Linked DNA regions of Arabidopsis thaliana. The protein of the gene in region 2 interacts with the protein of the main gene of each other region in a pairwise test. Each region holds a gene or a part of one and is shown on either strand. Other genes may lie near its edges. The genes, in order: AT1G29960 and AGL48.

The links.
Region 1: the proteins of AGL48 (region 2) and AT1G29960 interact in a two-hybrid assay, tested with the Arabidopsis thaliana proteins (one large-scale study listed by BioGRID).

What each region holds. Positions count from the first base shown.
Region 1 is NC_003070.9:10,492,602-10,496,985, reverse strand, and holds AT1G29960 (Peptidase S24/S26A/S26B/S26C family protein), read right to left. Parts: upstream 2,360-4,384; 5' UTR 2,174-2,359; coding exon 2,048-2,173; intron 1,973-2,047; exon of another isoform or gene 1,960-1,972; coding exon 1,735-1,959; intron 1,422-1,734; coding exon 1,311-1,421; intron 1,183-1,310; coding exon 1,135-1,182; 3' UTR 781-1,134; downstream 1-780. Other genes in the region: AGL64 (AGAMOUS-like 64), read right to left, coding at 1-256; AT1G29950 (basic helix-loop-helix (bHLH) DNA-binding superfamily protein), read right to left, coding at 2,770-3,525.
Region 2 is NC_003071.7:16,792,613-16,796,337, forward strand, and holds AGL48 (AGAMOUS-like 48), read right to left. Parts: upstream 1,717-3,725; coding exon 601-1,716; downstream 1-600.

The DNA.
Region 1 (4,384 bases), on a different chromosome or scaffold from region 2:
ATGAAGAAGACGACGAGGCCTCGCCGTTGAGAAACCGCTCTGCCACGGCTTGGAAGGACGGACTGCCGAATGTGTATGGTTTTCCAGAGCAAGAATACCCGAGAAACGCAACTTCAGCACCACAGAGAATGGAAAGCTCACTGAGTTTAGTGTAGATACCATTTCGACGCTTAGACAATGTGACCAATCTGTCTTCGTCTTTTTCAATTTTCTTGATGTTAATCCTTTGTTTTCCTTTGGTTTTCTTGGGTTTCATTTTGGAGAAAAACAAAATTATGAGTTTATTGGCTATAAAAAAATAAGAGAAATTTAAACTAAGTATTTGTTTGCTGTTTTTGGCTTTAGCCAAGGAATATGTTTTTTTTGTGGGTGCAAGATAGGGTTTATATAGATGGAAAAATGGTAGTAATTTAAATTGCATAAAAGTTAGTCAATTCTTAGATTAATGTTTGGAAGGTTGGTAATATTGATTATCCGCATAGTTATGGTTGATTGATAACAATTGTTAATGTTGGATGTAGAGACTTTGACTGGAAAAACTTTTTTTGTAAGGACTTTGACTATATAAATTTTTATAACCAATTGGTAAAAATTGTGATAGTCGAAACTACGATTTTAAATAACTATCAAATATGTGGGAAAACAGAAAATAAATCACAATGATTGTTTTAAAAATTATTTGACACACAATTAAGAAAATCCCTACAGTTTGGCTTGACAAACTTGACGTTACCACCAATTGGTATCACCATGATTGATTTAAGTGAAAATAGAGCAATCTTTAAAATGTGGGGAAATGCTATTGATCAAGTAGTATTTTTAAATGGTTATAAGATTTTCCCATGAATAATCTTGGCTTCACACAAAACATTCGATGTTTGTTTTAACTTTTTGATACAGAGGCGACTCTCACATACAGCGTCAGACCAAAAATACATAATGTTACGTGCTCTCAAGTCTAAACCATATACTCACTTTTCCTGAGCGTTTAGATTCTCCCATCTTCGTGAATGGTATGATGATCCTGCATCTCATAGTCAGTCATGAGCCAGACTCACTCGGCAACAACGATTAACCATACTACCAATCTGCCTCGGTCATCTCATTGGCCTAATGACCAAGCTAACTCGTATGCTAAGTTGGGGTTGGTCCAAGCGGTCCAAAATCTTGAAATGGCCAAACCTACACATTATTATACATACCGAAGATTAGCCAAATAGATTTACCAAAACAAATGCAAATAACACATTTGAAGTTCCGAAATCAGATAATCTAACTATATTTGTAAGTTAATGACAAAAAGTTTATACCCTCCAAAGCACTCTGCCTTGAATAAGACCGTAAGGTACAGTACCAAAGTTTCTTGAGTCTCGTGAGTTATGAGTATAGTCACCTTGAACAAAGACATGTCCTTTAGGAACCTAAAACCAAAAAAACATCGAAAGATCAATTCGCCATTAATCCAACAAACTAAACAATCCAAAGGAAATTGTAATATACACCAATAACACTAACGTTGCTAAAAGATTCAAAATTTTCCATGAATTGCAATCAGCTAAATCGAGCTCAATACTAATTAACAACTTGTTTCAACTCTGATCACTCAATTTCTCAACAATGTATCTACCTTCTTCAAACTCAGTTCTCTAAGTACAACATTCAAAAATCTCATCCATAAGCAAAACCAAAGTGAAGTGAAGTCAACAAGGAAGAAGGTTAAGTAACAAAACATACCACAATGGTTTGAGATTCATCACTCTTCCTTGAATCAATCACAAAGCTTATACAATCACCTTCAATACCAATAACTCTTTTAATTGGAGTCTTATTAGGGTTTTCTGGAGATCGTATCACAACTATATCTCCACGACTCGGTTTCTGATACCGCTTCGAGATTCTCTCCGCTAATAACACATTTCCCGAAGGATGAAGCGTCGGAGTCATGCTCGGACCATAAGCCTGCTCAAAAAGACTACATCTTTATGGTAAATTTTCAATAACGAATTCGATTTACACCAAAAAAGAAGAGAGATTTCGATTGACTCACATAAGCCATGAATCCGAGATAGTTTGTTGTTACATGAAGAAAGCAGTAGAGTTTCGCGAGTAACACGCCGCTTTTCATGGCTTCTCGTGAAGCTGTGTTCCAGAAAGACGACGACGGAGTCGCCATTGCCTATTTCTTCAACTGAATCCAACGAATCGAGATTTGAGAACTACACAAAGTCTGCAGATTTCACGAAAGTGTGAAGCTTTGAGACGAATCGTTGAGCTATACTGTGTAAAATAAAATGTAATCATAACCCAATTTATAAACCCGGTTATTTAATAACCCAGTTAATTTCCATCAGAAATTGAATTTTGGTTACGTATAGGACCCGTTTTATGGTATAAGCGTGACTTTTCAAAATGATGGCCCTTACATTGTTCAGTAGAAGGAAGACCAAATGTTTAAAACTATGTAGAAGCAAATACATAATGATAATTGTAGTTCATAGTCAAATGATTACAGTGAAAGTAAAACCATACAAATTAAAATCTCAAATCAAATCCACAAGTACTTGTTCAAACCTTGCTTCTTCATCGAAGCAGTAACACACAAAAAGCAAAATACATAGAGAGATTCAAACATAAAATAGATACCATCCTGCCAACAAAAGGAAGTGAGTATAGAGGGAGGAAAATAAAGAGAAAGGTCCAGATAGCGCTAGACCGATGATTTACCTCCCGAGAAACAATAGTGATGGAAGAACCGAATATCGGTAGCATTCAAGATTGGTTTGAGAAATGTCCAACGCCAAGTTTCTGAGCTTCGATTTTAAGTGACTTGAGATACTGAACAGCTTCATCAAGAACGCAAGCTGTATTCATCTGTTCTCCTCCAGGGACAATTCTCCTCAATACTCCCATCATCTTCTTCATCTTTTTACGTCCTTTCCCATCATTGTTACTACTACTAGCACTGCCCGATAAACTCTGCTTCCTTGAGTTGTTGTTGTTGTTGTTGTTGTAACCATAACTGGAACAACAAGATTCTGCTGTGGTGTTTCCATAATCCCTGGAAGAAGTACGAGCAGTGCTGACTTCTTCTGAATCACCACCATCCTCTTCACCTTCATTATCATCATTCTCTTCATAATCTTCATCTGCGCTCAAGAGAGCATCGATCTCATTTGGATCTTCTTGATAAGAAGAGGATACTTCTTGCTCATAGTTACCATAGTTACCATAACTTCCCCCAACATACTCGTTCTGAAACGTCGAAGCTAAATTGTTCAACGAAGGGGTATTCATGAGCTTATGAGTCAGCTCAGGATGGTACATCACTTGGCTGCGGTCATATGTTTGATCGAAGATGACAAAGTTCTTTGGACAGACCGCAGACGGTTGAAGTTCAACACCATGGTATGGCAACTTTGCACATGGTGGGAACAAAGCATCATAGGATGACCCTGATGCATACGGGTTGTGCATATTTCTGTCACCCACTTCATCTGAGAAGTGAGGAAACTGATTGTTCTGCATCAGAAAACCCGTGCAAACGTAAAAAAGGAAACGCAAAGAGAAAAACAAGTTGTACACCTCAAACTGCAAGCTGCTTGAATATTTTCTACTACCGATTTGTCGCCTTTGTAAGCTTCCAGCTGCTCAGTTACTACTACACTAAGTTGACACACGGAACCAAATGCTATATCAAGTTATGGCCATCATACTAAAGATATCACGAGTTTCCACCAGAGCCCTTACCCCCCAAACCAGAAGCTCCCCCACAGACAGCTCTTCAGAATACCAGACTCTTTAACAACTCACAGTAAATTTTTTCGAAATCAAAAGTAGATAGCCGCTCAAAACCCCAATTTCCGAAAACTCCAGACGCTAGACTACGTTACAGGCTTAAGCAACTGTCTGAAATATTCAGCCTGCAATGATTTATAAGAAAGGTTGAATATCAGAAAAACTATGGTTAATACTCTAACAAATAGCTATCCACATGTCATCAAGAGGATAGAGTTCTTTTAATGACATAAATCAGTGTTGCCTAAGCGATAGAAGTGTTAGGAAATACTAAATCAAAGAGAGGCATGTACCTGGCAAACTTGAACGGATTGGTAATTAGCAATGAAACATGTAGTCATCATAAAAGTTCCTATTTCCTTCAATGATCGGTTTCCCTTCTTGTTTCCAACAATGCACATTCTCACAAACTAACCAGTATAATAAGCACAACAACAAAGAACTATTCCGAATTCCGGAAACAACACCTGCAAAACAAGGAAGAGATGCCAATAGTTTTAACACAAGAAGCTGTATATAAGGTGGCAACAACAAAATTTGCTTCCACAAGGTACCAATGTAAGACAAAAACACAAGATGTGAAATGAGA
Region 2 (3,725 bases):
TGAATATATACCTTGAAAACCCTAGGGTAGAGGTATATATATATGGGCCTTTTTCTTAGCCCATATAACAATATGGGCCTTTTGCTTATATATTCTTAGCTTTTAAGAAATTTGGACGAGAATCAAAAGTTAAATATTCTTTTTTTCTGTCTGTTAAAATAAATTATTTGTTTGTTTCTATGGGTTTTTAAAGAAAATTTGTTATAAATTTGGCCAACTCATCCATCATATACTTATTAATGTTTTTATATAAAAAAAAACGTATGCATTTTAATAAAATCAGGTTAATGATTAAGATTAAGGATGGAAAAAAAAAGTAAATCACAATAAAATATAGAAATAAGAGATAGGTCTCCGATGAAATAAAAATGCATAGTCAAAATCAACGAAACAAAATGACCAACTCAAAGTCAACAAAATAAAAAGATTTTTTATTCCAAAACAACGAAACAAAATGACCAACAGTTTGTAGAAAAAAAAAAGACAAACACAAGTTTAAAACAACAAAAAGAAAAGCTTTTTAAAGCTCCACAAACAAACAAAGAAACACAGTTTAAAGATAAACGCATACAAACTTAGAACACAAACCAAATCAAGAGTTTAGAAATGATGATTGTTAAAACCCGGCCACACCATGTTGGTATTAGACGTCGTCGCATCACCATTGTTTTCTCCAGCGGTTGTTACATTAGGATATGGTTCTTGGCGAACACCATCATTAGCCGTTATAGTGTTGTTGCTCATGTAAAATTGTGAGTTGTTAATGTTGATTCCTTCGTTTATTCCCAGCTCACTTCTCATGTAATCAAAAGGATCTTGGCTTGGTTGATTCATAGCCATTGTTGGATTATTGATCATGCTGTGATGTTGTAAAGGTTGGGAGACTGACCCAGCCAAACCTTGGGAAGTCATCATTTGGAGACGAAATGGATCCATTTCCAAATGAGGGTTTCCGTTGCTACTGCTTCCTTGATAAAGACGATAGCTTTTAGGGTTTGGATTTCCGTTCTCCATTTGTTGCGGTATTTCATATTTAGGTGGACTAGGTGGAAAAACCCATTCATCAAAAAAGTAATAACTTTTACTCTGCTTAAATATATCGGTGTTGATGAATCTTGTTGCTTCATCTGTCCTTCCAGCTCTTTTATTATCTTGACCGCCTCCTACAAAACCATCATTTGTGGTGGTTTTGAACTCTTCGACTTGTATTTCAAATGGAAACACTGGTGGATCGCGAAGAGGAGGAAATTGCATGAAAGCTAGTTTCTTCCTACAAAGTAGGATAGTATCTCTTGAGAAAGATAACAAGGCATACATCTCACTTTGGTTAAGATCAGCAATTTCACGACCGCTTTGGAGTTGCATCATCAGCTCATCAATGACATGCTCCTTGTTCTTCTTTTTACTCTTCTTCAATTGTTCTTGAAACTTATGTGTCTTCTCTTTTAGGTAGGATTCGACATTTGACTCTTTCTTCTTCTGCACGGACTTCGGTAAAGCGAAAAATTCGTCTAGGAGACCATGAGTCGCCTGAGGAGATGGCCACACCAATGGTCCAACCTTATCGGGGCTGAAAATGATTACAATAGCCCTTACAGCACACAATATGGTTAGCTCTTTCACCTTTTTAAGTAATCCTACCCTCATTTTTTGCAAACTTGTTGCTCTTGACTTGTCATTCTCGATCCATACAAGTTTTACTTTCTTTCTTGTCATGATCACTCTTCGATTTTTATTTCTCTCTTTTAAAATTTTAAATGTTGTTGAGCATATGAATGAAGATTAGCGCGGGAATCCGTTTAAATAGTGTTGAAAAGATGAGATTTTGGAAAATGATACTAGTCAAAAGATGTAAAATTAATTGCTACTTACTAAAAAATATTGAATGTCTATGGTAATGTTTTAGTTAAACCAAACCTTTTAGATCTAAACCAAGTTGAAAATATCAACTCAAAAACTAGAATTTTCCTATGTTTTGGTTATAAAGTTATTTTCAAATATCATAAATACCATAGAAAATTGACTAAAAATGAAACTTATTTTGCTAAAAAAGTAAAAGTTTAAGAACTGAATTCAAAGCTAATTAAAAATTTACCAAACTATATTGGATTTGGTTTTACATTGATTATTCTTTAAAAACAATACTAGTAAACAAAAACTAAAATCCAAATCAAACCATTAACATGTTAAAATCTTTATGTGGTTAATTGTACTATTACAGAAAATTGAAATAACTGAATTTCTGTCCAAATTTAGGTCCTAGTCAATATACCAAATTGATGATTTAATTAATTGTTCTGTCATTATTTAATGCTAATGATTATATTGACTAACATTATTTTCATTGTTGTGAATCATATTAATTCATAGTGTTAGATAATTATTTTGGAAACTAAATGTTGACTATACATTTTCTTCAGTGTAAGTATCATTTTCATATTTACATAGTATGAATTAAATATATATATATATGTATTACCATATGTATACATAAAAGTTGACTCTTGAATTCTTTATTTATAAATTGTTTTTTTTACTTCAGATGTTTTCTTGTTATTACATTGAGACTCTAAACTGAGAATTGTTTATAATTGTTTTATACAAAAAACTGAAACAACAATACTTTTAAGGGAAAAATATAAGAGAATAATATATTCTTAAAACTCTAATGGACATCTTGTATCTTTTTCTTTTTCTTTGTTTAGCGATCTTTTTTCTCTCATCGTTGTGTTGTTGTGGTTGAATGTTTTCTTTTGTGTACGTAGTAACTCTCTTTGTTTCTCGATTTTGTTTTTTTTGGATTCGGTTTGGTACTACTTTGCCAGATTTCAATAATACCAAGATATAGAGGAAAACAATAAAACTAAGCTTTATTCCACATTGTCTGGTGATCTTTCATAAACAACATTGTATGATTTGATTACCAAAATAATCGGTTCTAGAAAAGTTTATGTCAATCTCTATCTAGTATATGAATCACCATACCCATATTTGTGCACTTAAATTATTACGTAACCAAGATATAGAAAAGTGTTGTGATTTCATATAACAAATGAAAATATAATAATCTATTTTGTTGTGTTTTGTATATATAATTATTATAAATTAAATTAATTATTAATATTGAAATATTCATGTATAACCCAGTCAGATATGGGATTATTTTTAATTTAAATTTTGTATAATACTGTTAAAAGATTCGAAATATAATCATAAACAAAAAATAAAATTGATTTTTTCTTGTCAACTTCCAATAAACACCATAGTAAACAAGAAATCACAGGACAAGGGAAATACAGAAACGGAGAACTCTTTTTAGTCAAAGAAAGCTAGGATTCGGACAAAATCATGTCCAAACACTTTGAAGGATGATCGATACAAAAAATTGTAAACTTGAATATGAAGTGTTGGTGTGAGAATACCCAGCTCGAATAATGTAAATAATCTTCTCAACGACAACAATTATGCATCCAGTGATGAACACTTTTTGAAAACGTGTTTCTCTCCATAGTTTCTACATTGATGATTCCTATATTACTAAAACTTAATAGAGATATGTGTAAATATTCTCAGAGATAAACAAAATATAACTATATATAACCTCTGAAACTCGAACAACCAAACAGAAATTATCATATCCTATCAATAATTATATATTAAGGTAGGCACACTGTGAAGGAAGTGTTGAACCAATAAAATTCCCATACAACTTTCCACCATCTCCT